2 linked regions of the Caenorhabditis elegans genome follow. The protein of the gene in region 1 interacts with the protein of each later gene in a pairwise test. Each region holds a gene or a part of one and is shown in the gene's direction. Other genes may lie near its edges. The genes, in order: coa-4 and sma-2.

What was found.
Region 2: the proteins of coa-4 (region 1) and sma-2 interact in a two-hybrid assay, tested with the Caenorhabditis elegans proteins (one large-scale study listed by BioGRID).

The regions. Positions count from the first base shown.
Region 1 is NC_003282.8:9,325,357-9,338,796, reverse strand, and holds coa-4 (Cytochrome Oxidase Assembly subunits), read left to right. Parts: upstream 1-3,194; 5' UTR 3,195-3,195; coding exon of another isoform or gene 3,196-3,271; coding exon 3,272-3,423; intron 3,424-3,467; coding exon 3,468-3,531; intron 3,532-3,994; exon of another isoform or gene 3,995-4,168; intron 4,169-4,239; coding exon 4,240-4,338; intron 4,339-4,391; coding exon 4,392-4,550; intron 4,551-4,594; coding exon 4,595-4,825; intron 4,826-5,097; coding exon 5,098-5,274; 3' UTR 5,275-5,500; downstream 5,501-13,440. Other genes in the region: T20D3.6 (HIG1 domain-containing protein), read left to right, coding at 1-57; slc-25A51 (Solute carrier family 25 member 51), read right to left, coding at 519-698, 822-965, 1,051-1,268, 1,317-1,389, 1,436-1,486; T20D3.14 (CHCH domain-containing protein), read left to right, coding at 2,910-3,010, 3,065-3,146, 3,196-3,288; nspg-7.1 (DUF19 domain-containing protein), read left to right, coding at 7,945-8,112, 8,244-8,365, 8,758-8,855, 8,969-9,028, 9,075-9,180, 9,436-9,499, 9,598-9,684; clec-183 (C-type lectin domain-containing protein), read right to left, coding at 10,052-10,291, 10,377-10,787; F49C12.15 (Serine/arginine repetitive matrix protein 2-like), read right to left, coding at 11,347-11,418, 11,467-11,735, 11,790-12,901, 12,981-13,073, 13,121-13,440.
Region 2 is NC_003281.10:8,742,140-8,758,745, forward strand, and holds sma-2 (Dwarfin sma-2), read left to right. Parts: upstream 1-7,540; 5' UTR 7,541-7,724; intron 7,725-7,773; 5' UTR 7,774-7,824; coding exon 7,825-7,827; intron 7,828-8,468; coding exon 8,469-8,520; intron 8,521-8,634; coding exon 8,635-8,738; intron 8,739-8,923; coding exon 8,924-9,001; intron 9,002-9,609; coding exon 9,610-9,908; intron 9,909-9,955; exon of another isoform or gene 9,956-10,160; coding exon of another isoform or gene 10,161-10,299; intron 10,300-10,348; coding exon of another isoform or gene 10,349-10,495; intron 10,496-10,881; coding exon of another isoform or gene 10,882-11,174; intron 11,175-11,223; coding exon of another isoform or gene 11,224-11,286; intron 11,287-11,331; coding exon of another isoform or gene 11,332-11,404; intron 11,405-11,469; coding exon of another isoform or gene 11,470-11,751; intron 11,752-11,798; coding exon of another isoform or gene 11,799-11,962; intron 11,963-12,008; coding exon of another isoform or gene 12,009-12,091; intron 12,092-12,139; coding exon of another isoform or gene 12,140-12,443; intron 12,444-12,489; coding exon of another isoform or gene 12,490-12,606; exon of another isoform or gene 12,607-12,611; intron 12,612-12,752; coding exon of another isoform or gene 12,753-12,826; intron 12,827-12,900; coding exon 12,901-13,214; intron 13,215-13,264; and 9 more. Other genes in the region: nssp-33 (DUF19 domain-containing protein), read right to left, coding at 1-12, 398-517, 567-641, 1,006-1,125, 1,250-1,360, 1,596-1,700; ugtp-1 (UDP-galactose translocator 1), read right to left, coding at 4,320-4,622, 4,862-5,176, 5,584-5,712, 5,758-5,865, 6,144-6,268, 6,473-6,560; Mitochondrial import receptor subunit tomm-70, read right to left, coding at 10,161-10,299, 10,349-10,495, 10,882-11,174, 11,224-11,286, 11,332-11,404, 11,470-11,751, 11,799-11,962, 12,009-12,091 and 2 more; aak-1 (5'-AMP-activated protein kinase catalytic subunit alpha-1), read right to left, coding at 15,097-15,222, 15,280-15,368, 15,844-15,978, 16,326-16,606. UniProt on the Caenorhabditis elegans protein: Involved in TGF-beta pathway. Plays a role in male tail tip morphogenesis.

The DNA.
Region 1 (13,440 bases):
GCTAATATTGTTTCACTGACTCCGCCGCCAGCGGTTCCTCAGAATAATTCTGCTTAACTTTTGATTCATAAAATGTTCTAGTTCTCGTCTGTTCTAAAATATCATAACTATACTAGACAGACCATGTATGTAGATTTTGAGGAAATCATCAAAATAAATTTCCCAAAAAGTGAAATACAATTTTGATTCTAATGAAGATGAAGATGTGTTACTAATGTTCAATCAAGTTAGACTTATACGTCCGGTGAGTTCAACGGATTTTATTATTTACATGGAAAACCAAAACACGTAGGCCATGCGTAAAATTAGACCAGAAAGAAGAGTGAGCGGGATAAGATTTGCGAAATTTTTGATATTTTTCTAAAACAATAATATTGATATCTATTTTTCCTATTACGAGCAATCAATAAACAAATCGAATTCCTAGAATTCAAGTGAAAGTGAAAATTTTTGGCTGGTTTGATTGGGAGCAAAAGAAAGAAAGGCACAAAATGTGAGGTTATAATTTTTGTTTCTTATTATTCAAATGGAGCAAGTGCTCGCCGAAGGATTCCATACATTGAATTGATGATTCCCCATGCTACTAAGGATCGAGTGAAATTTAGATGAACACCTAAATAAAGACCACGAAGCGAACGATTTCGAAGTTGCCACACATCACGAAATACTTTGAAACCACTTTCGTATTTGACACCAACCTGGAAAAATTGAATGATTTACGATACTTTTGGATTAAAAAAAATATATTTCGGAGTTAAGATATCCGAAATATAGTTTAGATCAGTAAGTATTTTAATAATTTTTGATAGTTAACAAATTACCTTCGCTTGCATATGATTCTTGATAACACCTAATGGGAAAAATGCTGTAGAAATGGTTGCTCCCAATAGAGATCCAGCTACGAAATCACCAATTAGTTGCTGAAGTGATTCAGGAAGACGTCCAGCTTGTGGGATTCCGACTATCTGAAACACAGATATTATAGGAAAGTATTTTTTAAAATGCTACAAGCAAATCGTAAATTATAATATCCCTAGAAAATAAGCTCACTTTTTGTTTCAACGGATCTCGAAGAGTGAAGAAAATTGTATTTGAAAGACTATTTCGGATGAGAATAACAGAAAATCCTCGATAATATTCCCGATAACCATAGTCGCGGAGACGATTGAAAGTGTGTAATGTGTTCTTAAATTTGTCATGAAATATTGTTGTTTGAAGAAGTACTTGAACCCGTTCCAGCGGGCAGAGCATTGCTTCGCATACTCCTGCTGAAAAATATTAATTTTAAAGAAATTAATGGTTAACTGATCACTTACACAGAAATGCAGCTTGAGCGTGACAAATTGAAAACGAAGAGTTCGGAGGTGAACGTGGACATTTTAAGGAGATCTAAATTATTTATCCTTGTTAATATAAATATTTCATGTAAAATTACCTGAAATTCATCATATAATCCGTACATTAATGCTCTACTCGTCGTTCGCATTATTAGAGGAGGTAATAGTCCTCTGTACAACTTTCCAACGCCTTCCAATTTGATTTGTTGAATTGCATCTTTCACGTGGAATCCATGAAGTTGCTGTCGAAAGATGATTTTATTTGATGGATACAAAATGCATGTTTCGATGCATCCGGCTCCCCATCCCGCCAAGAAATCCAAATGGTTTCGATGAGCGACAGTGGTCGCCGGGTCCGCCGACTTCCGACTGCTCTCCAGCGTGATTTTTGCGCGGAATTCGAGCTTTTATTACCTGAAAAAGTTTAATTTTTAATAACCAGTCAAAGTTCGAAAAAGAACGATTTTTTGAGCATGAGACAAGCTTCTTGTTGACAAAAGATAAAATTAAGAAAATATTCTTTAGAATTTTCTAGGCCACACCATTTCGCGGGCAGAAAAGACAAGTTTCATCAAATTAAACCTATATACAGATCAGTTTTCAATAAAATACACATTTTGTTCTTTAAATACATCAAAAAACAGCTCCAAAAGTTTAGAATAAGCTTTAATTCGGGCTAGAAATAAATTAAATATCCAAATTTTTCGACGGTGGCCGTGGCCGATATTCTTCTACACGAACTCCTCTCGGACAACAAGATTGTACAAAATTTTTTTCGATTGTTCTGTTTCGTTTTTCAGAGAAGAGGTTTCATGTTTTTCTTTCGAAATTTCGTTTGTCTTTCTTATTTTCAGCCTTTTTTCCTCTTGTAATCCTATTCCAAGCAGATTGTTATTCGCTCAAGCCAACTAACCAGATTTCCTCAAACTTAAATCGCTCATATCTCAGCTCAAAACCATCGCAGAAGCTTCGTTCTTTAATCAATCGATCCCAAATTTCAAGGAAATCTCGAATATCCCCATCTCAGGTTTGAGGCAAAGCCGAGAACCTGCGCAAGCTACCTTTTCGGGCATCCCCATTACCGAAGGGCTGGCGCGGCTCTCCGATTTGCTAGTTTTCATATTAAAACTATATTAAAAAAGCTTTTTACAAGTTCAAAAATAAAATAACGTGTAAAACACGTGGTGGACAGCAAAGTCGCTTGTTAAGATTATCAAAAAATGTTCCTAACTAGCGGAATAGTTCTGCGGCAATTTTTCACCGTCGCAGCCAAGGTTGCGTGCGAAAATTTCACCGATTATCGAAAAGAGAAAGAAAAAGAGATAACGCCGAAGTATAATCAAAATTGAAAATTGAAAAAAAAACCGAGTTGTTTCAATTTTAACTACTCTTGTGTACTTCACTCGGAAAATCGGCACCCCGAGCGATGTACACTGCAGGGTTCTCTCAATGCCTGCGTCTCTTTCTAAACTCCAAATCTCTCATCCTACGCTTTGTCTGTCTTTTCTCGAAAACGTTGCTTCTTTTTATTTTTCAATAAAATACCAAAGAACAGAAAATTGTCACAGGGTAATGTCAACTGCTGCTCCAACTGCTACTAAGGAAGCACCAAAATCTCCTCATATTTGGACTGGAAACGCCGATCAGGAAGACCGTGTCGAGTCACTCATAAAGTATGAAATATGATGCAATTTTTTTGAAATTTAAAACAAAAATATTATTTTCAGGAAGTCTGGGTGCTGGGATCTTCATCTAAAAGTCTCGGATTGTATGGGAGAACATAGAGATTGGAGAAAGTGTCAAGACGTGGTTTGTTTTCTTCTTTTTTCTTTTTATTATTAAAAAAAATATACTTTAGGTAAAAGAATTCAGAACCTGTGTTCAAAGCGTTCAAGTCGGTGAGCCACCAAAAGAAGAATCAGAAACAAAGAATAATGGATTTTCTCAATGATTTTGACCCTTCCGATGACGAAAATAATTGTAAACATCAAGAAAAACCAACTTATCTACCTTTCAAACCGAATTTCCATGAAAAATATTGGTATCGTAATGCTTTAAAAGAAAATCAAACAGCGACTGCAATAACGTAAGTTGGATTAATTTTTATTCACATAAAACTCGTAATTTCAGTGAAATTGACTTGTTCCGAGTGGCTGATTGTTATCATAATGGGGATTTCGAATGCGCTGAAAATGTAAGAATCATTCATTTTTAAATTTTTGGTTTTAATCCGAAATTTGGCTGGAAGTTATGAGCCCGGTGTTGACACGACAATTTTTTGTTAAATGCGTACGCATTTAAAGTACTTTAATTTCAGAATTTCGCTGCTGCGGAATTTTCATCGATTTTTCATTGTTTCTCTCTAGATTTTAAATTCAAGGTTTTTATTGTTATATATTTCAACTTCAATAAGAAAACTATATTTTTCATCAAAAAACTACGAAAAATCTATAAAAATTTCTCCAAACAAAAGCTTGAAATTACAGTACTATTCAAAAGCGCACGCCTTTTCGGATTTAACAAAAATTTGTCGTGGTGAGTTAACTTTTCAGAAGTAAAAAATTACGAAATTGTTTGTTACAAAAATAAACATAGAACAACCTGAAATTCTTTTTAAATTTAAAAGTACAAAACACAAAACGCCACTGAAAAGATCTAAAAATTTGGAACGCTTCACGAATTTGCGTGTCATCCGTGCGCAGGGGCCATGCTAATCTTCTCTGTATTGTTCCAATTTTAGTATATGTTCTAGAATTGGAACAATACAGAGAAGATTAGCATGGCCCCTGCGCACGGATGACACGCAAATTCGTGAAGCGTTCCAAATTTTTTGTGACGTTTTATTGGTGTTTTGTCTTTTTACTTGTAAATCATATTCTAACTTCAAAAGTTTCAATTTTAGATTCTCACCGGGCTCCGTGAAAGCACGAAAAACAATCGTACACATGAAATAATGCTAATCGATTCTCTTCTCCAATGTTCCATCAAAAAAACATCGGAGGTAATTTTATTTTTAGTATATGAAACTATAAATTTTATATGATTTTTTTTCAGCTGTCTTCACCTGAAACTTCAATTTCTCTACAATTTCTTTCCTACTACGAATCCATTTTGGTCGATTTTGGTGATCAAATTCAGTTTCTACGAACAAAAGCTTTTCTTCTCTCAAAGTTACCTTTCACATCAAACTATCAGAAAGAATTCAAAAACACGGTATTTTATCGAATGCAAACATAATACAACTCCGAGTTTTCTAGATGGCACTTCTTTGTCAATTGTGTGGATCATTCGAAAATTGGCAGCTTTTTGAAATCGGCTCAAAATATTTCACGAAGTTGGAAATGTTTGGGCTGAAATTGAAAATGAAGAAAGTTTTGAAGTATGAAATCGATCATTCCAAAGGATTTATTCAGGAGAAATTGAAGAAGAGATTGGAGAAAATAACAAAAGAATTAAATGAGTTGGAAGGAGAATTGGAAAGTAATATTGTGAGTTATCAAATGTAATTTAAAAACATTTTATAAATTGTACCATATAAAATAGTGAATATTATTCCCAAAACCTCAAAGTGATCTAGACATTCATTAGCAATCAATTCTGAACTTTTGTGAATACATTTTTCTATATTTAAAGTATGTTAGTATGACTTCTCTAAATATAGAGTTGATTTTATTTTAAAAAAACCTAGAAATTATATTTAGATAGAAATGCATTGCCATAGTTCCCAAATTATGAATAATTTCGTTATCTTCAATTTCAGATCGAATCAATTCACTCTTCTATCAACTCTCACAAAGACACCACAACAGTCGAATCCACTCCAAATTCAGAATTTCGTGCTCATGAAAGTCGCTCCAAAAACAAATTAATTCCAGTTTCAGATCAACCAGCCACAATTGAAGACTTCTTTCATCGTTTTCCATTTTTGTCATTTTAATTTTCTAGGCTATTTTGTTAGGTTGTTCATTGTTTCATTTTTTCTCTTATCGTTTAATTGTTACTTGTATTTTGTTGGCTTCCGTATCTGAAAATTTGCAATTTTCAAAAAGTTCATTACTGCAAACTTGCATAACAAGAATTGGGAGTGACATACACTCTCCCCAAACCATTTTAACAGTTTTCCTTTTTACGAGGTGTGTCTCCTCAATAATCATCCAGTTAAAAAGCATTCAATGTCCACGTAATTCGATTTGATAACCTATACTGATATGCCAAGGTGATATCAAATGTGCTGCGACGACACGATCATATAATTTTTGCCACGATTCGGTGTGTATGCACACGGTCGAGAATCTTGACGACGCCCTGCCCTTTTTTTGAGTCAGCTTCTCACTTTTTCTTTAAACGTCACTTTTTCAAATTTTACCGTTCTTTTTTTAATATTTTTTTGAAAAAAAACAAGATGTAAAAGTTAAATTTATTTTCAAAAAACTTCTTATACTGAAAATCTAAGGTTTTTGTACTGTTGGGAGAAAATTTTCAGTAGTTTATTTGATTAAAATAAACTAGATATTCCATACGGTCGTGATAGAACCGCTTTATCTTCTGCCTTCTTTGCATTCAACTTTCCGCGCGAGAGGCGAAGATTCGAGCCCCCGTAAAACGACTCAGTACAGCTCCATCCTTCAGCTTTGCTGTTCTGCTAATTTTTCCTGTTCTCTTGAATATAGTTGTTTCACCAGATATGTCAAAAAAATTTATGTTTCACATTTTCCAAGTTTTTTAAACGGTGAAGTATTAGGTTGGTCCGGAAGTCTTTATAACTTTTTCAATCGTTTATTTCTCGAAGCAAGAGAAACGATAGGATACATTTTATTCGCTATCATTATCAACAATATACTGTCTACGTGTGGGCAACTTATTAATGCCCTGCTAACAGTACCCTTCCGGGCGCGAGTCGAAATAATGCTTGAGTGCTACATTGGCACTTTTTTGGGTATTGAAGATTCTCCGCTCGTGGACACGGGTCATATTTGAAAACGACTAGTATTCAGATGGAGTGAGGTCTGGAGAATACGGTGCGTGAAGGAGAACCATCCATCCATGGCTGGTATGTTCCTACTTTTCCTGTTTCGAGAGGTGGGAACTAGCGTTGTTTTGCTGAAAACAGAATTGCTTGTCCATCAGGGGTGAACCATCGATGACTTCCTTCATGTTCCATGGTTAGATAACGTAGATGTCCCCACTAATCATTTTGCCCTCAGGCAGCAGTTCCCAGTAGAAAGGGCCCTACACTCCCCTCCACACTGAGAGCATGCCTTTTTTGGGGTGAAGGTCGGGTTTGGCGGCATCCTGTGGTGTCTCTCATTCTCCAATCCACTGAGCACGCTTGTGGTTGTTATCGTAGAGGACCCACTTCTCGTTACCAGTAATGAGTCGGCCCAACCATCGATCGGCCCCGTGGAAAATGAGGAGGGAAAAGGAATCACCCACTAAAAAATCAAGATTCGCCTGTGTCAAGGTGTGAGGTATGAATTGACCCATAAGTTTCTTTATTCCAAGAGGTTCCCAGCCTCGTACAATGTTGGTTTGACGGGACCCAAGTGTGGTTGACAGCTCACGGGTGATTTGGAAAGGATCCGTTGCCATGGCTTTCTGCAACGTGTCCAAATCCAATTTATGGGGTCTCAGAGTCTTCGAGAGAAAAGTCGTCCTTCTCGAAGCTTTGGAACCAATTGCGTATGATATTATAGTAGGGAACATGTGAATCATAAACATTCTTGAGGAGACTTTCCGAATCCTTCATCGTGGTATGAGAGAGGAAGAGGTACATCAAACCATATCGGATGTGGATCGCACTAGGGACATACATCGTTGGTTGACTAACTTCAGGCCAGAGGAAAGGGAATGAGGTGTTGCTTACAATGAAGTTCCTACTCTTGTTGTTATTCACTAGCAACGAGGGAATACCAAAGTGCAACTGTGGCGAGCGGTGGAAAAGCAAACCCAGTTATAAAGACTTCCGGACCAACCTAATAGAATTTCTGAAATTCCCAATAATGAATTAAAATCCACTTCATTATTATTATTACATCTCCATGAATTACGGACTTACTGTCAATGGTCCTGGCACGATTGAAAATTTCCCGCTACAGTACCCAAAATTTCTCAATGTTCTTTAATGTTTTTTTGGTTGTTATTTTTCTGGAAAACTTTTTAACTTCATGGAAATTATCAAAAATACGTCAAACATTATAAGAAAAATGACGCTCGAATTTGCAATTTCTGGACACTATATTTTGCAATTTATACTGGTCATTTTACTTATTTGTTCACACATCATTTTATTTATTTTTTAATCTTCCGGTGTAGCTCTTTCTTGTGACAAATAAACAATATTATATTATATTATCGTGTTTCCTCCCTTAGTCATTCAAATCTCCAAAAAAACATTAGTGTCACATACAACTGAGACTAAGTAAAGAAGAACCGGTTATTATTTTTGAAATCTAACTTCAAGCTGTCGCATTATTCAAAGTTCTATATTTATATCCAATAAAGCTTAAGAAAAAAAAAATTAAGATGACATCACCAATCCCCTTCAAAATTCTGCACTTACCGTCAATTTCCTCCCTGAACCTGAACGATATTATAAATTATTTAGAAAATGCGTACAATAGCATTGGCTCTTCTTGTACTTGTGGGAGTTTCCCAAGCAGCATTCCTTCTACCATATTCTCTTCCAAATGATCTTATTCAATTAATGGCTTTCCGTGAGACTCCTCAAAATGCTGCCATTTCTGCTTGTCAGGATATTCAATTCAATTATTGTCAGGTACATTTAATATATCCAATACACCTTTTACGGGTGCAAATTCGATAGCGGTTTGTAGAAAAATAAGTATTTGTATGTAATGAAAACTGATCATCAAAAATAAAATTATAGTTTCAATGAAAATTTTCTAGACAACGTTCAATCAGTTCTTTGGAATGGATGATTCTATTTCTTGGCGCAATGGATCTTACATTTTCAATACAGTTCAGAAATATTTGGAAATGAATGTTACAGAACTTATCAAGGTTTGCAAGTGAGTTGAAACATTGAATATTGTGGTATTGTGGTGATCTGTTAGGAAAAATTTATTTGTGAACGATCTTACTTTAAAAAATGTTATATCACTTCTGAAACTTTCGCCATTTGGTTTTATATGTGTCTATGTTAGCCATGATAATTATGTTCAATTTGTTAAATTTCAATTTCCTCGTCGTTTTTCACACTTAACATGTTCCACTATAACAGTTGAAAGTTTCATTGTCAAATTGACCGGGCATAAGACAAATTAATCATAGACTCATTTCTAGGCTTCATTGTTTATTACTGCTTACTACTGTTTAAATTTTAAATATTTAGTGAACTCATAAGTATTGCATGCTAATAAATTCAATAAATTCAAACATTCAAATCCAATGACACTTTCAGCACCCGTACTCAATTCTACCAATGCCTCGGATCTTCTTATTATACCTGTATGAATCTCTATACTCTTCTCAACAAGCCACAACCTGATTTCTCGAACAGTGAGTAAATTCATAGATATCGAGATTTTCGACCTGTCGTGAATGGCAATTCGAACGTACAACATTTTTTTCATATTATAATTGAAATTTATTTTTTAATGATTATATTTCAGCATTCGATTATGTTAGAACATTCCGTGGACTCGAGTGGATGTGCGTCGGAGGATTCTCTGGTAAGATTCACCAAAGACTTCTTTACCACTATTTTACTATTTCCAGAAGTAGTAAGCCAATGGGACTGTCTCGGTACTTTCCCAACTACAAATGCGTATAACTCTTGCATTCAAAACTTCAATCAAACAGTGTCTGCTGGAAACTTCTGCCCGTGAGTTATGAATAGTAAGAATACATCAAAAGTGGAATATGGTTAATGCATTTTGTTTTAAAATACTTAAAATGAAGAACAATTTGCGAAGGACTGAAAATTTCAATTTAAAAATTCGCGATTTCCCAATTTTTTACAAATCTCCCTGTTTGAATTATCTCCAAAGCAAATTCGCAATTTTACTCGTACTCCACCATTTGAACTATGTTTGGAAAAATACTATCTACTTTATTCAATTCAATTGTTCATATTCAGAGCAGTTCAACAAACTGGAAGCTGTTTGAATGACGCCTACAATGCCGCCTGTGGAGTCGGAGGAGTGAGTTTTAAAAATCTTCTGATACACAGAAAGGCAAAATAACAAAATTTAGAATTCAAAGTTGAAACTTTTCTGAAAAAAAGTTTAAATAATTGCAGGCTGGATACTTTGGATGTGAGAACTTCCGTATCACTTTCGACAACTCTTGCTGGGGACTCAGATGCATGGTTGATTCAACCAACTAATTCTTACTTTTCTATCAAGAACATTTAATATCTTTTTAAAGTTTAATATGATAAATTGGATTTGTTCGTTAAAAATGTTAAAATTTGAAGTTGTGGGTAATACTGGTCTGGAGTTTTCGCAACTATAATGAAACATCTTACTAAAAAGACTGAAACAAAAACAACTGTAATTATATAAATCTGTCCGAGGCGTCACAAAAGCGTCTCGCCTCTTTCCTATTTGCGTCATATCTGTTCTTTTCTATACTATTTGCTGCCACATCGACCTTAGAATTTATGACCTGAAGAAGTATATTTAAATCGAAAGAAAACAAATGCAAAAAAAGAAAAATAAGATTTTATTCGAATAATCAATTAATTTAGAACATTAAAAATCAAGTAGCACGCTTTCCACAAACAAATCCTCTGTACATGTCCTTCCAAGTAAGTGGACAAACTTGTGAAAGTATTTTCCATGTTCATAAGGGCTGGTTCCAGTTGAAGCCCAAATCCACATAAGAGCACAATTATGGGAATATCCGCTGGTTGGACCCAGTTGTGGTTCTCCCTTACTCCATTGAATACCTTGCTGACCTCCATCATTATTTCCATCGGTGAGTGCCCAAGCCTAAATATTTAAGACTTCATTTTAACACAACTCGGTCAAAAGAAAGTTTCAAGTTTATTTTCATATTTTTTCTTGAAAAACTCACTCTAGTTGTAGTAGGTCTTGCAATTCCAACTCGAATAGTTCCAAATTTATAGTCAGAAGCAGCGAGCATTCTTTCTTTTCCAAGTCTTGCAATAACAGCTCTTTCAGCAGAACTTTCACTTCCAGATAGTTCAGCTCCGATTCTAATACAAGCCTGAGAAGCCTGATCTTGATGAACAAATCCATTGTAAACCTTCAGACACCATCCACCAATTGATCTTTCCACTCGAGTCCAACTTGCCTCACATGTTGTAGGTTTAACGGTAACATTGCTTGCTTTCTTGGTTGTTACAGCTTCAGTTACTTCATTCATAGGTACAGTACTTGGAGGTTTAGTTCTTGTCCGGCAGGTACTTTTGGTGGAAACAAAGATGACAGCTCCTAAGAGAAGAGTTACTGGAAGTAGACGCATTTTTTGAACCAGTCTGTTTAGACAATTCCCAGCCGGCTTATATGGAACACTTTTTGAAATTATAATGAATGAATTTGCATGATGAAATGGAAATTAGAGGAAATAATTTGCAAATTGAAAATCAGAAATTATTGATGTTTGATACCTTTATGAATTTTTCGAAAGTTTTATATTTGAAAATTTTACCTTTTTTATCTTTCAAATTTTGAAGATAGAGAAACGAATTCGAGAAAATGTAATTGTCTTTCTTCCTGCACTGTTAGATGAAAATGGCTTAATGAACTGATGGTGCCTAGATCACCATCTCACTCGGGTGGCTCACAAACAACGTGCGAATATGGTCGTTTTCGTGAAGCGTAAAAATGGGCCCTTTGCGGCCTAATGCGGATACCATTTCAAGACACAGACCTGGCAAAGTGAACAGTTGTAAATTTTAGGCATTCGGAAAGCTCTTTCTATAAAAACATTTCTCGACTAACAGAATGGACAATTTCAATAAAAATTCATTTTTTCATGGCTCAATACATCAGTTCAGTTCAAGTATCTAGTAGTAGTCCAGTTATTTTTGCTCCTCGTCTTTTTTCTCTTCATCTCCCAAAATGTTACTGGCTTGACGAGCAATTGTTTTAGTCTGAAAATCAAAACATTCAGAAAATGAAAATACATACAGAAAACTGACATGACTAGTAGTATTTGCACTTGTGAGATTCCATTCTGAGCTCTTTTCCCACAACTTTTGTCCTTTGAATGTGAAACCAAGAATTTCAACTTCTGGATGTTTTTCAGCAAGAAGCATGAAATTAACATTAAGCACAAGTCGTTTCTTGTCAATGAGCATATCCAATTGAACACTCTCAGGGAAAGCACGTTGTCCATAAGAAGTTGAAGGAACTGTTTCAGAATTCACTTTGATTGGTGTCATTTCCAAAGTTTGATGGGTTTCTTTGACTTAAAATTATAATATTTTTGACTGAATATATAAAAATTAAGAATTAAACTAACCTGCACTCAAAGTCACAATATTCGACTCATCCGTCTGATTGAATGTTCTCTTCAAAGTTGGAGTTGCAGGAGATGAAGCTCTCGATCTGGCTCTCAATCTCTCACTCAGATTCACTTTTTCCTCTTTCACAGTTTCTTCTTTCTTCTCACTAATCTCAGGTGGCTTTCCATCTTCTTGGCGAACTTCACGAATGACTTTAGTTTCCTTCACGCGAAGTGTTCCTTTTGGAGATTTTGAAGCAGATCTGGGACCAGTAGAAGCTGCAACACGTTCTTTATGCAAATCTTTAGCAGACATAAAAGTCGAATTGGCTGATCCAGTGTTGTACATGTAGACGGAGGTGCCAGGAGAAGTTGGAGGTTTTGAACTGATCATGGAAGATGTTACATCAGTTTTTCTTGCCTCTTCCTTCTTTTCCAACAAACTGGCCAAATTCTTCGATGCAGATGGTTTCTTCAAGCTCAAACTTTTATCCAAATCAATTTCATTGTCACCGTTTCTTGAAACTGATCGCTCTCTAATGCTCATTGCACCACGCCGAGACGGACCCTCGTCGGGAGTTTTCTGCATGGAATTCTTCACTTTGGATTCAAGAACTGAAGAGTTGAGAGAAGAAGCTGGACTTTTCGGAGTGGACGTGGCTTTCGGGAAAGATTGATAAAAAGTCTCATTCCCCGTTGAGTCGACATGCTCTGAAACCTTAATCTCACTCAACTTGATTGGATCCTGATCTGGACGAGCATCCTTCTTGCATGACTGTCTATCAGGACTTGGAGTTCTGTTAGTTTTACTATCCCTCTTTTGGAGAGCCTTATGTCTCTTGGCACGAGAACGAGATCTACGCGAAGAACCAGAAATATTCGGAGTCTTTGGAGAATTGATGGAAGAAGAATTTTTGGAAGATGAACTGGTTGATGCTGGAGGTGCAGAAGGTTTCGTTCCTTGGAGAATAGATACCACTGATTTTCCAACAGTTTTGTTATCATCCTTCTTTTTCTCATCGAAGAAGAACTTGAGTTCTCTGTATTCTGACGTTTCTTCTCCAAATGATCCCATTTCGTGATGCCACATTTCCTTCATTTCAGCGACAGAACTGTGACGAATTGTGATTCTGAAAGTTTTTGATTTCAAACTACATTTATAAATTAATCAGACTCCTACGCTTTTATTAAAAAGTAACAGTCACTTACCCAATGTTTTTGCTGTCAAACATGAGATCCTCACTGAAAGTGATAGTCTTGGTTGGATCAAATGTGGTCTTGGAAGAGTTAATCGAAACATTTCTGTAAAATTTAAATGAGATAAAGTTTACCATTGACAAATCGCTCACCCAGAGACATTAACCCCAGTAAGACCAATCTTAAATTCCTCAGATCTGATGTACTTCTGATCAACAACAGAAATAGTTTCCGAACATTGAACATTCAGAAATCCTTCCGTTGATTTTCCATGATCTCCCGAGATTTTCGTCTTGCAAATGTTTGCATAGCTCTTCTCTTCTGTGATGGACGAAGTTTTACCCGAACGAATCTTTCTCACATTCTGCACTGTATGAATATAAATTCCTTTGGAGGAATAGTGAATCTTCGTAGCAAACTCTTCTTCTGGTTCATCGTCTGATGACTTGTTCAAATCTGTTGACGAACGAGA
Region 2 (16,606 bases), on another chromosome or scaffold:
GTCACGTGTCACCTGAAATTAGCTGATATTTCAATAATACGGGATTTTTTGCACAAGGAAAGTTATTGATCTTATTTGGAAAATGACCAATTTTCAAATAGTACCCAACAAAAACGTTAGGGGCGTGCCCTAGAGCACTTTAATCTGGCAAAAAGTAGATCTGAAACTTATTCAGTGCATTTATCATTACTTGAAATCTGCCAAACTGATCAAAAATATGTTTTTTTTTAAACTAATGATGGTTGTAGGAACGCTTTTTGGAATTTCTTGGTTTTTCGAAAAAATTACTCTTCTTAACTAGATCGAAAAAGATCAGAATTTTTTAAGAAAAAGAAAAACATCTTGAAATGCCAAATTTTGAGAATTAAAAAAACAATTTTGCCCTTGATAAACATACAGTAGAAACTAATGTCCATGCATCGGAACCACACTTTGCCAAAATAATTGGATGAGAACATCTCAAATATCCATCCATCGCTCGACACATTTCAGTCAAATACGCTTCTGTTGATGATCCCTGAATCTCATACTTGATCTACTCAAAACATGAAACAAAATGAACTCACTTTTGCTCCTTGTGCTTCAGAAATTGCTTGAGTGGCTGCTATCTTACAGCTGATATACTCTTTTTGGGCTTCGACCTTAAATTTGATTACTGTAACTTTGTTGAAGAAGACGAAGAGTGTCACAACATTATTTGTAGATGCAAAAATGTTGTCAATCACAAAAGAGTAGAAACTTAAATTGTAGAAAAATTCTAGACAACTGTCTTTCTGATACTCTTTTAACCAATCAATTGATCAAGTTATGACAGTTATTTTTTTAAAACAGTTGTCCAGACTCTTTCCAAATTAGAAATATTCTAAAGTTTCTTTTGCCGAATACTGTACTTAGTTTATACCAACTTTTTTTAAACCAGTTTGTGATTTTTTATAATATACGATTAAAAGTGTTGTGTCTAAAGTGTGTCTATCTTCAGAATAACAAGTGAAACTGTGGCAGTACCTCTGCAAAACATCCGGCATGTTTCTGAAATAATGGTTGACCAGAACCACACATGTAACTGTATGAAGCATGAACAGCATCAATTGACAAGGAATCACATTTCACTGGTGACACACAATCCTAAAAACATTCAAAGATTTTCGGGATTTTCAGCCAAATTTATGAAAAAGAAAAATTTATGAAAAAATTTACCAATTTTCTGAGTTCATATTTTTGATATTCAAAGCAATGAGATCAACCTCACCTTGAAATCGGTGTAGATAGAGCAAAGTTGGTTGAAAACTTGGCCACCTTGAAGTGGAAACTGCATAGCTCCGGTCTCCGCTTGAAGTTTTGTAGCGTAGTCAAGCATTGGCTGTAATTTTTTCATTGTAAGACATTGGCGCTCAAAAACCTAGCTTTTGTTTCAATGCATTTATTTTTTGAAAGAATCATAACTTTAATGGTAGTTAATTTAAGTTATGTTTTCTAAATTTAAATCTTAAAAACTGAAACTTGTTTCTTAAAATATGTTGAACAAATTATTTTCAATGATGTAACCAGTTTTTCATTATAAAATGTTTTCAAACCGTCTTGAAATATAAGAATACCTGTAGACACTCGCTAACTTTCTTCTCATCAGAATATTCACATTTCACTGGACTTTCTTTTGTCTCCACACCAGGTATGAACATTAGAAAAGCAAGTAGAATCATTCTGAAATGTATTTATAGTTTATAGGGCATTTTAGATTTTTGGAAGAACCAGAGAAGAGCGGATCTTGGTATAGCATAAACTATAATTTTCCATAAATGTATTACAACAAGAGTATGAAAATGATAAGTTTTAACATTTTTCTTAGTTCGAAAATTCCAAAAAAATCCCATATCTACATACAGGACTTTAATCAATAGAATACCGTTCAGATTTTTTTTTAAATACAAGGCTTCACATATCTAACCAGTATAGAAAAACCGAAAAGTAACTGTTATATCCAGTGAAGTATGAAAATTGTGATGTTGAGAGAAGGGAATAGTCGTCAAGCCTTCTTCTTCTGCTTCTTCTCCCCGTAATTCAATCGAGTCGAGTCCTCTTATCTTATTTTCACGCCGAGACTTCTTCGTCTTCTTTTCCATCGGGTTTCTTCTTTTTTTCTTATTATCCAGTACCCACAATACATACTCACGCATTCTTGGTTTTTCAGAGAAATGAGAAGTTACAGACATACGGTGTTGAAGATAAACATAACGAGAGTTCTTTCTCAGGAATTATGGTAAGGTAAAAATAAGAAGAAATACTCTCAATTTCAAAAACAGTTGAACAGATAAGATTGGACTGTATGCGATAGTTTTTGAATGCACCATGTTTTTGAGTTTCTGAGTTGCCAAAAATGCTGATTTTTGAAGTTTTTCTATTGTATCCATTTCACAATTCAGAGACCGCGGTCTGGTCTGAAAATCGTGAGAGACAAAGGGGATCCGTCTTCATGCTTATTTTTTTTTCAAAAAAAAATTATCCGAAAACTTTTGCAGAGAAACGAAAGTAGTTATAAAACAAAAAGTCGCTTAAAAGTACAAATTGGAAGTCAACTTTAGTGAGTCGAGAATTGATTCAAAATTCTTGATTCTTTATTCTCCAAATAACCAAAAAGTGAATTTGTTCTATGAATGTCCTTTCTCTACATCATTCCATTTCAAAAGGCTCTTCTCTTTCTATACTTCTGCTTCTTCAGCTCCCCGTCGTTTTCATTTTTCATTCATCTCTTCTCTACCTCGTTTTCCCTAATGTTAGGAATATTTTTTGAAAAATTGTTAGGAGTTTTTTTTGCATCAAAAATGTTCAGATGACAAAACGACGAAGGAAATGTAAATTGGATTTGGAAAAAGAAAAAGAAAAGATGGAAAAAGAACGGAATCTGATAAACTACTTGAATGGAAAAATGTTTTGAGATATTTGAGGGACAGCAATTTTTTTGTACAAAAGTCGGTTTGCTGTTGAATATTTAAAATTTCAGAAGCTTTGTGATATTCAATATCTATACGAAAACTGAATTTCAGATGTTAAAATGAATCCTACACAAAAGGTCCAAAACAAATGGGAACCTTCAGTGGGATTAGGTAACGAAGATAGATGAGAAGAAGGATTCTCAAAGAAAAAAAAAACGAACACATTATGAGGGTGTATAACTATTGACAATGGGTTTCTAGTGTTTTTTGAGTTTTTTGAAATGATGGGAAAGTTTTGTAAAATTTTGTGTCTTCTGGGAAAATCTATAAAATTAAGTTGTGAAGGGCTTGAGTGTTTGAGAAATTTATTTAAAATAATCCAGCTTGGCAGAAAGGTTTGAACATTCGAAAATAGTATTTAAAAAAACCTAAAGACCAAATAAATATTCTCGAAAAATTTCCAACTCTCAATAAAAAAACGATTGAAATACAGTTAACTAAAAGAATCCGGGCATCATTTCTGAGAAAAGAATAATAATTTTTAGAAAGGTAGGTACTTCAGACAATTTCTCCAAAAGACATGTACCATAAAAATTGCAATTGGCTGTAATTCGAAGTCTCTGTTTTTCAGAACTTGATATGTTATTTAAGAGAAAAAAACGCTACCATAAACTCGCGGTGAGACCCATTCATATAAATCCGTGCACACTCAAGAAAGAGTTTTAGAAAATTCGGATAATCAATGGATGGTCGAAATTGATCATAAAATATATAAAAAAATGCTCGGACATTGGGATGGCTTGAAAAAGAAAAGAGAAAGTTTCGTTCATCTTTCTATCTTTTCAGTTCCATTCGCCGCCAATCCGTTTCTGTCGTCTCTTTTTCTGAATTCCCATCTAATTAAACATCGACCACATGCATCCTTCCTGTCAAACACACACTTGCCAAACTACTGACTGAGCAAATTGCGAGATATCTCCAGGGAGCCATTGGAATTCTGTTATTTGGCGAGAATTTATGAGCCACCTGAGCACTAATGGCTTATAGTTTTAGAGCAGGAAGAAGGAAAGAGGAGGAGCCCTTGCTTCTGCTCCAGAGCGTTCGCACAATTGGTCAGGAATTCTGTGGATTGGAACAAATTAGGAAAAAATATGAATGCTTTTTATTTGCCATCGAGAATCGAGGAAGTTTATAACATAAAACCACGATCCAAAAAAACACAAAAAATGCAATAGAATAAAACCCCAAAAATACAAAGAAATCCAAGCATTAAGTTTATACAATTAAAGCTTTTGGCTAATACACAGAAAAATCAAGTAACCCGGAAGAATGTGTAATCAAAAAATGATGGTTTTTCTAAAACTGAAAAAAAGAAGCAAATTGTGAATCCTACTCGTTAACAGAGTTATACAAAAGAACAGCAAGAACAACACAAATGGTTCCAAGTACAAAATACATTCCAATGAAAATATCTGGAAATATGAGCATCGAAAGAACAACAACTAGAATGATAGAGACTGCTGAAGCCATTGATTTGTACAGATTATCAAGATATCGCATCACAAGAGAAATGTAGAGGCCTCCAACGCCAAGAAGAATCACAACTGCCCATACTTTGTCCGTGTAACCGAAGAAAAATCCCTTATCGGAGATCCGCGAAAAATCCGTGAGACAAGCGATTGAAGCACTGATCTGGAAAAAATTGGAAATTTTCGAAATTCGACTTTCTGAGATTAATTGAGCTTAGATTTTATTAATAAGTCTAAATTGGTTTTTAGTAATATTCAATTATTTCGAATCTCTATTTTTCAAACGATTTGAAAAAAAAACCCTAAATAGTTTCTGATTTTTTTTTAACTTTCAGAAGTTTGATTTATTCAATTGGATGGTAAGTAAATAAACTAGGAAATTTTGAAATTTCAGTAACTTACCACTCCACAACTGTACATTTGCATATTACGAATCCAAAATGGTGTACTTCCACCATCTTTCAACATCTTCTCAAAATAGACTCCAGCAAATCCAGCAGTTACACACGTTGCCAGTACAGCTGATAATCCGACAATATAATTTTCAGCAGTTTCTCGTTTTGTATTGGCTTCTGATGCAGAAACATTGTTCATTTGAACAAATGCTACTCCAAACATTAGAAGTGTAATTGCCATCCATCGACGAGTTGAGAACTTTCGACCGAGAAAGAGCATCATGAAAAAAGCTGTAGAGACGACTTTCAATTGAGTTGTGACCTGCAATTTTTTTCTTGAAAAAGTAGGGTTTTTTTGGATTTTTGAAAATAATAATTTTTGTTTTGTTTTGGAGAAAAAAAAAAGAATTTTTTTTTTGGCTTTTAAAGGGTTTTTTGTGAAAAATTAAAACAAAACATTTCTGCATCGTTTTTTTCTGAAAAAAAGAGTTGGGTTTTTTTTTTGGGAAAAATTGATTTTTTAATGGTTTTTAATGGATTTTTTTGAAAAAGAAAAAACATATTATTTTGAAAAACTCGATTTTTTTCCTGGAAAAACTTTTAATTTTTTGGTTATTTTTTGAAAATTTTTTTTGTTTGGTTTTAATGAAAAATTGATTCTTTTTGTTATTTTCATAGGAAAAAAGGTTTTTTGATTATATATTTTTTAATATTTCTATGACAATTTACCTGATAAAGTCCCGCATCCAAATTCGACAATCCCACAAAATCCAAATTATTCTGAAGAGCATACGCAAACGATGGGACACTCATTTTGGCAAGTTCTCGTGGAGCATTTATGTAATATTTACTGACTTGCTGTAAATTATAATTTTAAGATTTCAAAGAATACGGTAGATCTACCTCGGAAAATTGTCTGCTATCAAAGTTACATTCTTTGTAGAACATTGCAAATGTGATCACTAATTTCAAAATTTCGGCACATAAGACTACTGATGTTGAAGAATACATCTGAAATAAAAATGCATACTTTCGAAAAATTGAAATATTTGTATCAATTCTGTGTGTTTTTTTGGTGCTTTGGGATCAAAAAAAAAAAAATTTTTCTTAAAACCGTTTTCACACTTTGGATTTTTTTCAGAAAAGTTAAACATGATTTTTTATATTTCGCTATGAATTATCAATTGTATTTTATTGTCAAACTTTTTGAATTTTGAATTTTGAAAAAAAAAAATTTCTGAAAATTCAATAATCAAAGTCTTCCAAAACTATATTTCAAAATATATTACCATATCTGGATTTACAGTACTCCTTGTGTATTTGATTGTTAATGTGTAAGCTGTCCAAATGAATGTCATACTGGCAATAACATAGCATTTGAAGACAAAACTTGGACGAGATGATGACGGGGATTCTGAAATACTTGGCATTTTGATACAGAGTTTTGAGAAGGAATTATATAAATTTTTAAAATAACATACGAAAACTTAAAAAATGTCGAGAGTAAATTTTCCGATAATTTGTTTTTCGATTTTTTTTTTCAATTTTTACGGAAAGTTTTTTTTTTGAAGAAATACCAAAACTTTTTGAAAACTGTATAATATTAGAAACTTCCTACCATCCGCTTTCTCCACATCCTTATCGTTTGGCAGTAGCTTCTCCTTGTCCTCATCTTGATGTGATATATGTACATTTTGGAATTTCATTCCTGAAAGTTGTATATTTCATAAAAAATAATCAGTAAATATTGAAAAATGCTTTCAGAAAAAAAAAGATAAGAAAATGTGCTATTGGGGTATGATGTCTGATAAAAAGGGTGTATGTTTGTCTAGATCATTCTTCTCTTTTTTATTGTAAAAACGCCACGTTCATGCATAAAATTGAGAGGAAGTATCATTATTCACAAACGCGATGATAAAACCCATGAAATCATTTTTTGATACTTTTTAAAAGACTGAAAAATAGATAGATATTCTCTAGAAATGAAATATTTGAAAATGCATTGAGAACAAAAAAATATAACATTTTCCGATGCTTCCAAGCAACGCTTATGTTCCTTAGCAACATGAATTAACAAAGAAGGAAATTTCAAGGACAAGACACTACTTGACCTTCTGTCAAAGAATCTACTTATGAAAATTCGTTAAAATTGAAATTATATAGAAAATGTAAATATTGAATGAGTGCATAGAGCAGACTAGAAATTTCTATATCTTTTGAGATTCTCGGAATCTTTTCTTTTCAGAAAATTATGCTTTCTGATAAAATTCGGTAATTTGTAAACCATGAAAATCAAAATTTTAGGGCGTGAAATATTTTCTGCTGCAAGAATTTTTCTCTTAATTTAAGCACAAAAGCAACACAATTTCAAAAAAGTGTGTTTTCTGGTGTTCCTTGATCTAGTGAGACCGGTTTTTGCAAAGCCTACCTTCACAACAACCATAGACTATTTTATCCGATGACACCTGGTCCCTTCTCAAACAAAAGTGATGAATATTCCCCAATACCGTTTTCCTTTCAAACATGAATAAATGAATTCCATTAATTCCCTGCTTGGCTCCAGACTGTCGCCCTTCTGCGTCTCTAAGTCTTCCTATTTCAAACACTGTCTCATTTTATATATTCTGAGTCTCTCTACTATACTATGATGTCTAGTTGGCTACTAATGACGATAACGGGGGCGCAGGGACACAAGTTGACTGTCGCCGGGTGGAAACACATCTGTGAAGATGATTGCACAATTTGGAGAGACGGAGAGTTGAAAACAATGAGTAGACAGTTAGACGGTTGATGATGGGCTGGTGAAGCTGAGAACAATTTATGAGATACCAGGCACTTTAGAGAGGCTACAGAGGTAGAAAGAAAAAAAGGTAAAGGAGTGCGCATTTACAGGCTATTTTCAATGTTTCTTATTTATAGAATCTTCTTGTGATCTATTAGTTTTTACAATATTTCAAGAAGATTAGAATCATGGTAAGTTTTTATTTGTATTTAAGAATAAACATTCAAAAAAAATTCGAAATTTTGTAATTCAAATTTTTTAAAGAAAAAAAAAAATAGAATTCAAATTGTTGAACTCAATGAGTCTTTAAAATTTTGAAAAAAATACGAAAATCATTTTTAAAAATTTCAAAAAATGTAGCTACATTTTTTATGTTTTCCTATAAAGAATTTGTTTAAAAATTTCCCAAAATATTGTTGTGAAATAAGAAACTGAAATATCTTCTCGATATTGTCTAACCACTACCAGTTTGTAAAAATTATTATTACTTCCTCAAAACCAGGGCCTTGAGTCCTGGAACGTGTGTAATTTTTCAGCTACAGTACCCCGTGAACACCATAGACTTTGAAATTCTCAGCTTTCAAAGTTTGAACCTTCCGTTTTACATATTTTAATATTTGACGTAGTTTAAACATTTTTCCAAAATATGTGATTTCTACAATAAAATTCTTGAAAAAATCGAGACAAGAGAGACAAATAGTAATAGAGAGTACGGTAGCTGAAAAATTTCATTCGTATCAGAACCCAATTCCCAAGAATTCTTATTTTTCGAAAATAGATAAAATTGTATAACCATTTTTTATTTCACAACAAAAAACCACGAACCTTTCAGATAAACTTCGACGGAATAAAAAAGATCACGGAGAGACTGAAATGGAAACAAGGTAAGTCTCATTTTTGTCCAAAAGACCAATAGGGTGGGGAAATATTACAATCAACGGCGGAAATCTAGAATCGAAACTGAAATCGGATTTCTGACGGAAATAAGTATTTTACAGGAGACGAGGATGAGAATTGGGCAAAAAAGGCGATCGACAACTTGATGAAGAAGCTGATAAAGCATAACAAGCAGGCGTTGGAAAATTTGGAATTCGCGTTGAGGGTTCATGTGTTTTGTGTCTTTTGAATCTTTCAATTTGATCTTAAGATTTCTTTTTTATGAATAGAAATGAAATAATCTAGCAATAGACTACACATACTTTAAACTCGTTAAAAATCAATAAAAACTACATATATCCGATATTTCAATCGTAGAATAACCTCAAATCAATAACTATATCATTTCAGTGCCAAGGACAACAAAAAACCGAATGCGTGACAATTCCGCGGTCACTAGATGGACGACTTCAAATTTCGCATCGAAAGGTGATTTTAGTATAGAATAAGAGAATAATGGGGAGAAGAAGTAAACAAATTCAAAATGAAGGGGTGCCCTATTTGTTTATGAACATCAACTAGAAACAGAGACAGACTTACTTATTCGATTAATCGACCGACTAGATTTTGAAAAATGATATTAAATTTTTAAATTGTAAAATTGTGTCAACTAGTCGTTTGAACAATTTCAAAAATTGATTTGATCTTTTTTGATTTTATGGGCAAAAGTCCACGTGTCAGTCCCATTTGCATTTTTAATTTATAAATTTGCATAATTTCTACAGTACATCCTAACGATATTAGAAAAAACATAGATTTTTCTGCTAATTTTTTGATATTTTCACAAAAATTACACCAGCCAAAACTTAACCTAGATTATGAAAAATCATATTAAATTTATGAAATTTAAAAGTTTAAAAAATTTATAAACGTTAGCTGATCTTTTGTTCGATTTTCAATTTTTTTTGAAATGAAGCTTCTTCGTGAAATGCTTGTTTGAACAGCTGGAGATTATCATTTTTCACAGAAAATTCAAATAATCCACTCTGAGAAAAAATGTTAGGAACAATTCCAAATCCTATGTACTAAAAATTCAGGCACTTCCTCATGTGATATATTGCCGTGTCTATCGTTGGCCAGATCTTCAATCACATCATGAATTGAAAGCAATTGAAGATTGCCGATTCTGCTACGAATCAGGGCAAAAGGATATTTGCATTAATCCATATCATTACAAAAGAGTTCATGCAACTGGAGTACTTCCACCAGTTCTTGTACCTCGTTATTCCGAGAAACCACCACAAGAAGTGCCCCCAACTCTGGCGAAATTTCAGTTGATGGAGATGAGCGGATCAAGAATGCCGCAGAATGTCAATATGGCAAACGTTAATTTTACGTAAGTGTTTAAAAAATATATGGTATTACTGATTGAAGAAAAATTGAAATATCTGGTATTTATGAGATTATCGGGAACAAAAAAACAAAAAAGCGAAGAATAAAATAAGAAAACGAACACAGTAGGTAAGGAACGGAACTGGAAAACGGATGGGTTGATTTTGAGAAACCCGAAAACTTAAAAAAAAAACGGGGAAATGAGGGGAAAAACAGGTAACAAAGCAGCCTATCAACTATTCAAAAATTCTTTAAATTAATACATATCGAGCATTTCAGCTGCACGTTTCTTAGCATTCATCAATGGAATCATTCTCTTCAACATGAGAAGTTCTCGTGGTGGGGCAAATAGAGCTGCATTTCGAATTGATTCCATTGCTCGCTCGTAATTTTCTCTGAAAGGACTTGGATTTTTTAGTGGAACTCTGAAACTTTTTTACTTACTTCTTGATCATCGGCTCTGGCCCGTTAGTTCCCAAAAGATGAAGAACGTGAGCCGAGAAATTGAATGGATCAACTGCAATTGCTGCGTTGGCACTTTCAGTTGTCAATCTGAGTCGTTCAGCTTCTGGTTTGTGCACGTGGAGATCACTGGAAAATTAATTGTATTTAACGTAGAACTTAGAAGCCGATGGGAATTTCAATTTAAAATTCGCAGGCTGGTCCCTAATGACGTGATTGAACAAAAAATTCGCACTTTTTGATTTTTCAACTTTCCGATAGCTTAAATTTTTGCCATTTTCCTTCCTTTTAAAAGAAAATTATACTTCTTCTTTTTTCAACAACAGAAACAAAATTTATTTCAAAAATCGAATTTTATGAGTATATTCTTCGATTCTTTTTTTTTTTTTTTTGAAAAAAATCGAAAAGTCAAAAAAAATTTTTAATTTTCGATTTTTTGTTTTATTTTTTTTTTCATAAAATCTCGGCAACTGGTACCAGTCGGCGAATTTCAGAAAATTAAAATCTAAACTTACGCAGTCTGCAAATGCCTACTTGGCACCAAATATCTCGTAGTAATCCTTGCAGCCTCTTCGAGCAACTTCTTCGAGCTCTCCTCATTATTAGTCATCATATATACTTTGGACATAAGAACCAGATTGAAATGAGTAGATCTACTCTCTGCGAGTTCTTCCATTTCTCGGATTCGTCGATGAACATCAGCGTAGTCTTCGCTGGTACACAACTTCAGGAATGTAACAATCATGGAAAGATGTGGAGTGAGAGTTCCGTTCTTTTCAGCTTCTGTGAGAAGTCTATTGGCATTGTTCTGGAAAATTAAATAATTATAAATAAGAAAATTATGAATTTAAATTTACTGTATCCGCCATCATTTGTTGCTCATGATTCGTCACTGCTGTATCGAGAACACATCCATTATACTGAAACCATATTTTTAGAGAATAAAAATGATTTAATCGAATTACCACAAAAATAGATGCAAACGAATAAAGTTTGAAAAGTCTTTCCTTATCGTCTTTTGGAACTGATTCCAGGAATCTGAAAATTAGAAAAAATTAGACAAGACCTGGAAATATTTTGGAAAATCAAGAAAAAAAACTAACTTATCCAAATCTGCCATAGTATACATTAGCTCAATCTTGAGAATATCGAAAGCATCTCTCATTAGTTTTTTGCGTTCCTCATCCTCTTCTGATCCAATCAGTTCGTTAATTTTTGCTCCAACTTTATCGATATATCTCGTTGCCTCGTTAGGATCAGTACTGTAGCTTAGCATTTTTCCACGCAAGATCATTGCCGGAGGATAGCTGTTTTCCTCAGTAAGCAGATCAATCAGTTCTTCGTATTTTCCTTTTTTGAACTTTTCCAGTGCAAGTTGGTATTGTCTGAAATTTATAATTATTTTTACTGTATATCTAGAATTAGAGCTTACTTCTGGTCTTCACTGAGCACTTCTGGTTCGAATCTGGTGAGATCTGTTTTGAAAAGATCAAGAATATCCCAAGTATCACACCACTGCTGAATTCTGAACAAAGCTACTGGCTGTGGCTTAACATCTTCGATTTTGAGTGGTTTTCCAATGTGACAGTCGGACATCTAGAATAAAAAGTTGAGTTTCTTTAAGAAATTGTTAGGCTCTTACGGGTTCTATAGCAAGAAGCTTTCCAAAGAATTCGAAATTCGTCTTATTCAGGCTAGAATCCAAAGTGAACGCGGCAAGAAGATCTAAAAACAGGAATTGATACTTTTCTCGTAACATCTTCAGAAACTCACACGCCAGAGCATCCTGTTTCTTTCCGACGTCATTAAGTGCTTTTGCTGCTCTCAAGTATGCTTTGGTGTATTTTTTGTCTACTTTCAATGCAGCCATACAGTCGTTGAGGATATCAAAAGGGCTGTGTCCAACCTTTTCACGACAGGCTGCACGATTTTGGTAGAGCATTGCGACAATTTGATCAGAAGAGTTTGGTCCGGCCTTTTCGACTCCTTTTGTGAATGCTTCTAGTGCGGAATCGTATTGTTTCTCTTTAAACTTCAAATTTCCCAATGCTTTTATTTCCTCCAAGTCCCTTTCCAGCTGAAATTAGTTTTGAAATTGATATCATTGTACACTAGAAACTCACGTCTGAACCTCCAAAACTCTTATATACCAAGTATCCTACACCTGCAACTGTCGCTGCAGCTGCCACACCGATCAGCACTTTTTTCGTTTGGTCGCTGATTCCAGTCGTTTCGACCATTATATCTACAAAATAATAAATAGATAAATGATATAAGTTAAGATTAAGTTAGAAAAATTGAGAATTCAAAGAGAATGAAGAAAAATTGGTAAAATGATGTAAAATTTCAGTGATAAGAAAAGTAGGCAATATTTACGATAAACAGCATGCGGTGGAATTCCGGAGTATCGTCGCAAGTTGTAAATAAAATTGGATCCAAAATAACTTTGAGAGGGAAAAGGTTACGAAAAGAAAAAAAGGTTGAAATATTATCAATATATTTTCTAATTAGGGATTTAATAAATAATTTTCTAGAGCCAACCAATTTCATCAATACAATCCAAATGGAATTGAGGAAATGGATACTTCTCAGAAATTCGACATTCCACCAGGAGTTCCAACATGTCTCGTGCCATTCGATAAAGTTTGGGAAGAACAATTCTGGGCAACTGTTAGCTATTATGAATTGAATACAAGAGTCGGAGAACAGGTTAAAGTGTCTTCAACAACTATAACTATCGATGGATTCACTGATCCATGCATCAATGGAAGCAAAATTAGCCTGGGACTGTTTTCGAATGTAAATCGAAATGCAACTATTGAAAATACAAGAAGACATATTGGAAACGGTAAGAGCACCCACGGCCTCGCCACGAACGAATTACTTTCAAATCAAGGCCGAGCAAAACACGCGTGCGCCTTCAAGAAGTACAGTAACCTGATTTTCGGGAGATTGGGTACCGTACTTCGGCGCATAATTTTTGCAAGACTATGACTAAAAAATTGAAAATTTTCAAACTTTTTGTAATTCCAGGTGTCAAGCTAACCTACGTACGTAGCAATGGCTCACTCTTTGCTCAATGTGAAAGTGATTCAGCTATATTCGTACAATCTAGTAATTGTAATTATATCAATGGATTTCACTCAACAACTGTTGTTAAAATTGCAAATAAGTGTTCACTGAAGATTTTCGATATGGAGATTTTTAGACAGGTAAGCTAATTCACGTAATTGCAATGTTTGAGTCAAGAAAAGGTCTCGTCACGCACAAAATAACTTAAAATTGCAGTCTCACAGCAATATGTGTACCTTTAAGCAGTACGGTAGCCTATTCTTATACTTTTTGAAAAAAACTGGGTTACTGTACTTTTTAAAGGTACACACATTAAAACTGGCGAAGCCATGTTCTTGGGCAAAAAATAGTAACTGAAACTATTAGGTCTCCAAATAAGTTCCGGGTCAAAAATCATAACTTTGTTCACTGCGTATCGATTTTTATGAAACTGTGGGAATTTATGTTATCAACCATGATCTTTCATTTGACAATAGTCACAAAATTTTTTTGCCGTCCGAAGTGCCCTAACTCGGAGCCAAATTTTTCAGGCATTTTTCAGATCTCGCTTCTTTTACGTTTTGATTTGAGGTTCGTGTGCGGATTTAGCTTTGTTTAGTACACAATGTAAGAAAACAAGAAAAGTTTGGAAAAAATCCGTTAAAAAAAAAATTTTTTTTGTCGGTCGTCAAAAAATGTTCAAAAAAATTTTTGTCCAAAATTCTTGATTTTTCATACAAAAATGATGTAACCATGTGCAAAATAAATAGTTTGCACATGGTTACATCATATTTGTATAAAAAATCAAGAATTTTCGACAAAAACTTTTTTGAGCATTTTTTGACGACCGACAAAAAAATTTTTTTTTGGACGGATTTTTTTCTAAACTTTTCTTGTTTTCTTACATTGTGTACTAAACAAAGCTAAATCCGCACACAAACCTCAAATCAAAGCGTAAAAGAAGCGAGATCTGAAAAATGCCTGAAAACATTGGCTCCGAGTTAGGGCACTTCGGACGGCCAAAAAATTTTGTGACTATTGTCAAATGAAAGATCATGGTTGATAACATAAATTCCCACAGTTTCATAAAAATCGATACGCAGTGAACAAAGTTATGATTTTTGACCCGGAACTTATTTGGAGACCTAATAAGAAAAACTAAATTTTTCAGCTTCTCGAGGACTGCAGTCGCCGTGGATTCGACGCCTCATTTGATCTACAAAAAATGACATTTATTCGTATGTCATTTGTCAAAGGTTGGGGAGCTGAATATCAACGACAAGATGTCACTTCAACACCTTGTTGGATTGAAATTCATCTTCATGCTCCATTGGCTGTAAGTTCTGAAATTCTTGTTTTCTTTAGAAATAATACAATTTTCAGTGGCTCGACCGAGTTTTGTCTACAATGGGTCCAACTCCACGGCCAATTTCTTCAATTTCTTGAATCATTTTTATTATTTTTCAAATAACACTACCTTGTTGAATTGGAATCAGAAATAGAATAATAAAACAAAAAAAAAACAAACAAAGACGTCCAATTTAAGTACATGCTTTGAAGAGAAAAAAGGCATCTGAGGGGAATGAAGGGGGGCAAAAGTGAAACCGGGAGAAGATGAATTTTGAAAAAGAAACGAAAAATACATATCATTATACAGATAGAAACATAAAATTATGTTCTTATTCAGCTAACAAAGCCTGCATGATGATGTGGCAAGTTGCAAAGAATTCCATCGTCTGAGAACGAATTGGAGCTTCGGGTTCCGAAGATTGAGTTGAAACTTCATCAAGACTTTCCATTGAGTTCTGAAATTTTAATGCTTATAAAAAAGAACCAAGAACGAATATTTTTCTATAACAAACCTCAATATCAGCCATGTAGATACTGCTGTTCAACGATGATTTCAGCGAGGCGTCCGCGTCATCAACGCGAACTTTTGGAATGTTGACAGCTGAATTAATATTAAAATTGAGTAATGAAAATGAACCACTTAAAAAAATGATTGAAATTGTTTCGTTTTAATGAAATGAGCTTGAAGGTAGCGTCAGTGATGTCAAAATTTTTAATTTTTTGAACGAACTGTTTTTTTTTCAAATTTTTTACTGATCGAAACTGAGAAAATATCTAGATAAAACACTCTAAACTAAAATTTTCCTGGTCCTGCAGAAAAAAAAATTCGAATTTTAAATAATTTTTAAATCATTTCTTAATTTTTCTATTTTTTTTTAATTTAAAAAATTCGAAAATATCTTTCTCCAACTACAAATCAATGGTTTCGTGTTTTCGATTTTTTTTTTGAAAATTCGTTTTTTTTTTACTCTTTGGGGGTTTTTGTGAAAAATTTGCTACTCCTTCTTTGAAAAAACAAATTTTTTTTTTTGAAAATTCATTTTAAAATAATTTTCTTTCATCAAAATTAAACTTACACGGAGAAATTGGAGACATTGGAGATAGTGGAGACATTGGAACTTTCGAGCTATTTCCATTTAAATCACTTTTCGATTTGGCGAGAGTTACTGATACGGACGCAGCACGGGAACGACAACGACTCGGTGGAACAGCTGAAAGTTTTTTTTTAAAACAAAATATTAATAGCTATTTTCACTCGAAGAATACGGTACCAGGTCACGACACGACAAATTTATGTCAAGTGCGAAAAGGCGTAAAGAGTACTATAATTCATTAATTGTGTTTTAATTGTTTTACTTTAGTATTTTGATAAAGAAATCTTTTGTTCATAGAAAATCTATGAGAAATTGATGAAAAATTTGCAGTAACGAGTTTGAAATTACAGTACTCTTCAAAGGCGCACTTTTCGTAATTTACGAAAAATTGTCGTGGTGAGACCAGGCACCGTATTTTTAGCCCAAAAATCGTGAACTTTCGTGTTTATGTAATAAATACAAACCTTCTTCGTCTTCAGTGAGTCCTTTGAAATCGAGTAAATATCCTTTGTTATTCTCTTTTTTATCGAGAGCAAATAATTGAAGAGATACTTTCACAGGATCCGGATTAATTGGAGTCGGTTTGCTACGAACAATAATATGATACATACTGAGTACTTTCCATTCCATATCAACAGATTTTAAACTCAAAAAAACATGTTTCATGGTCTCAACTGGATCAAGACATGCACGAATTCCAAGATTCCATGTCAATTTCTTTTGCTCTTTTTTCAGTCCTTCCAAG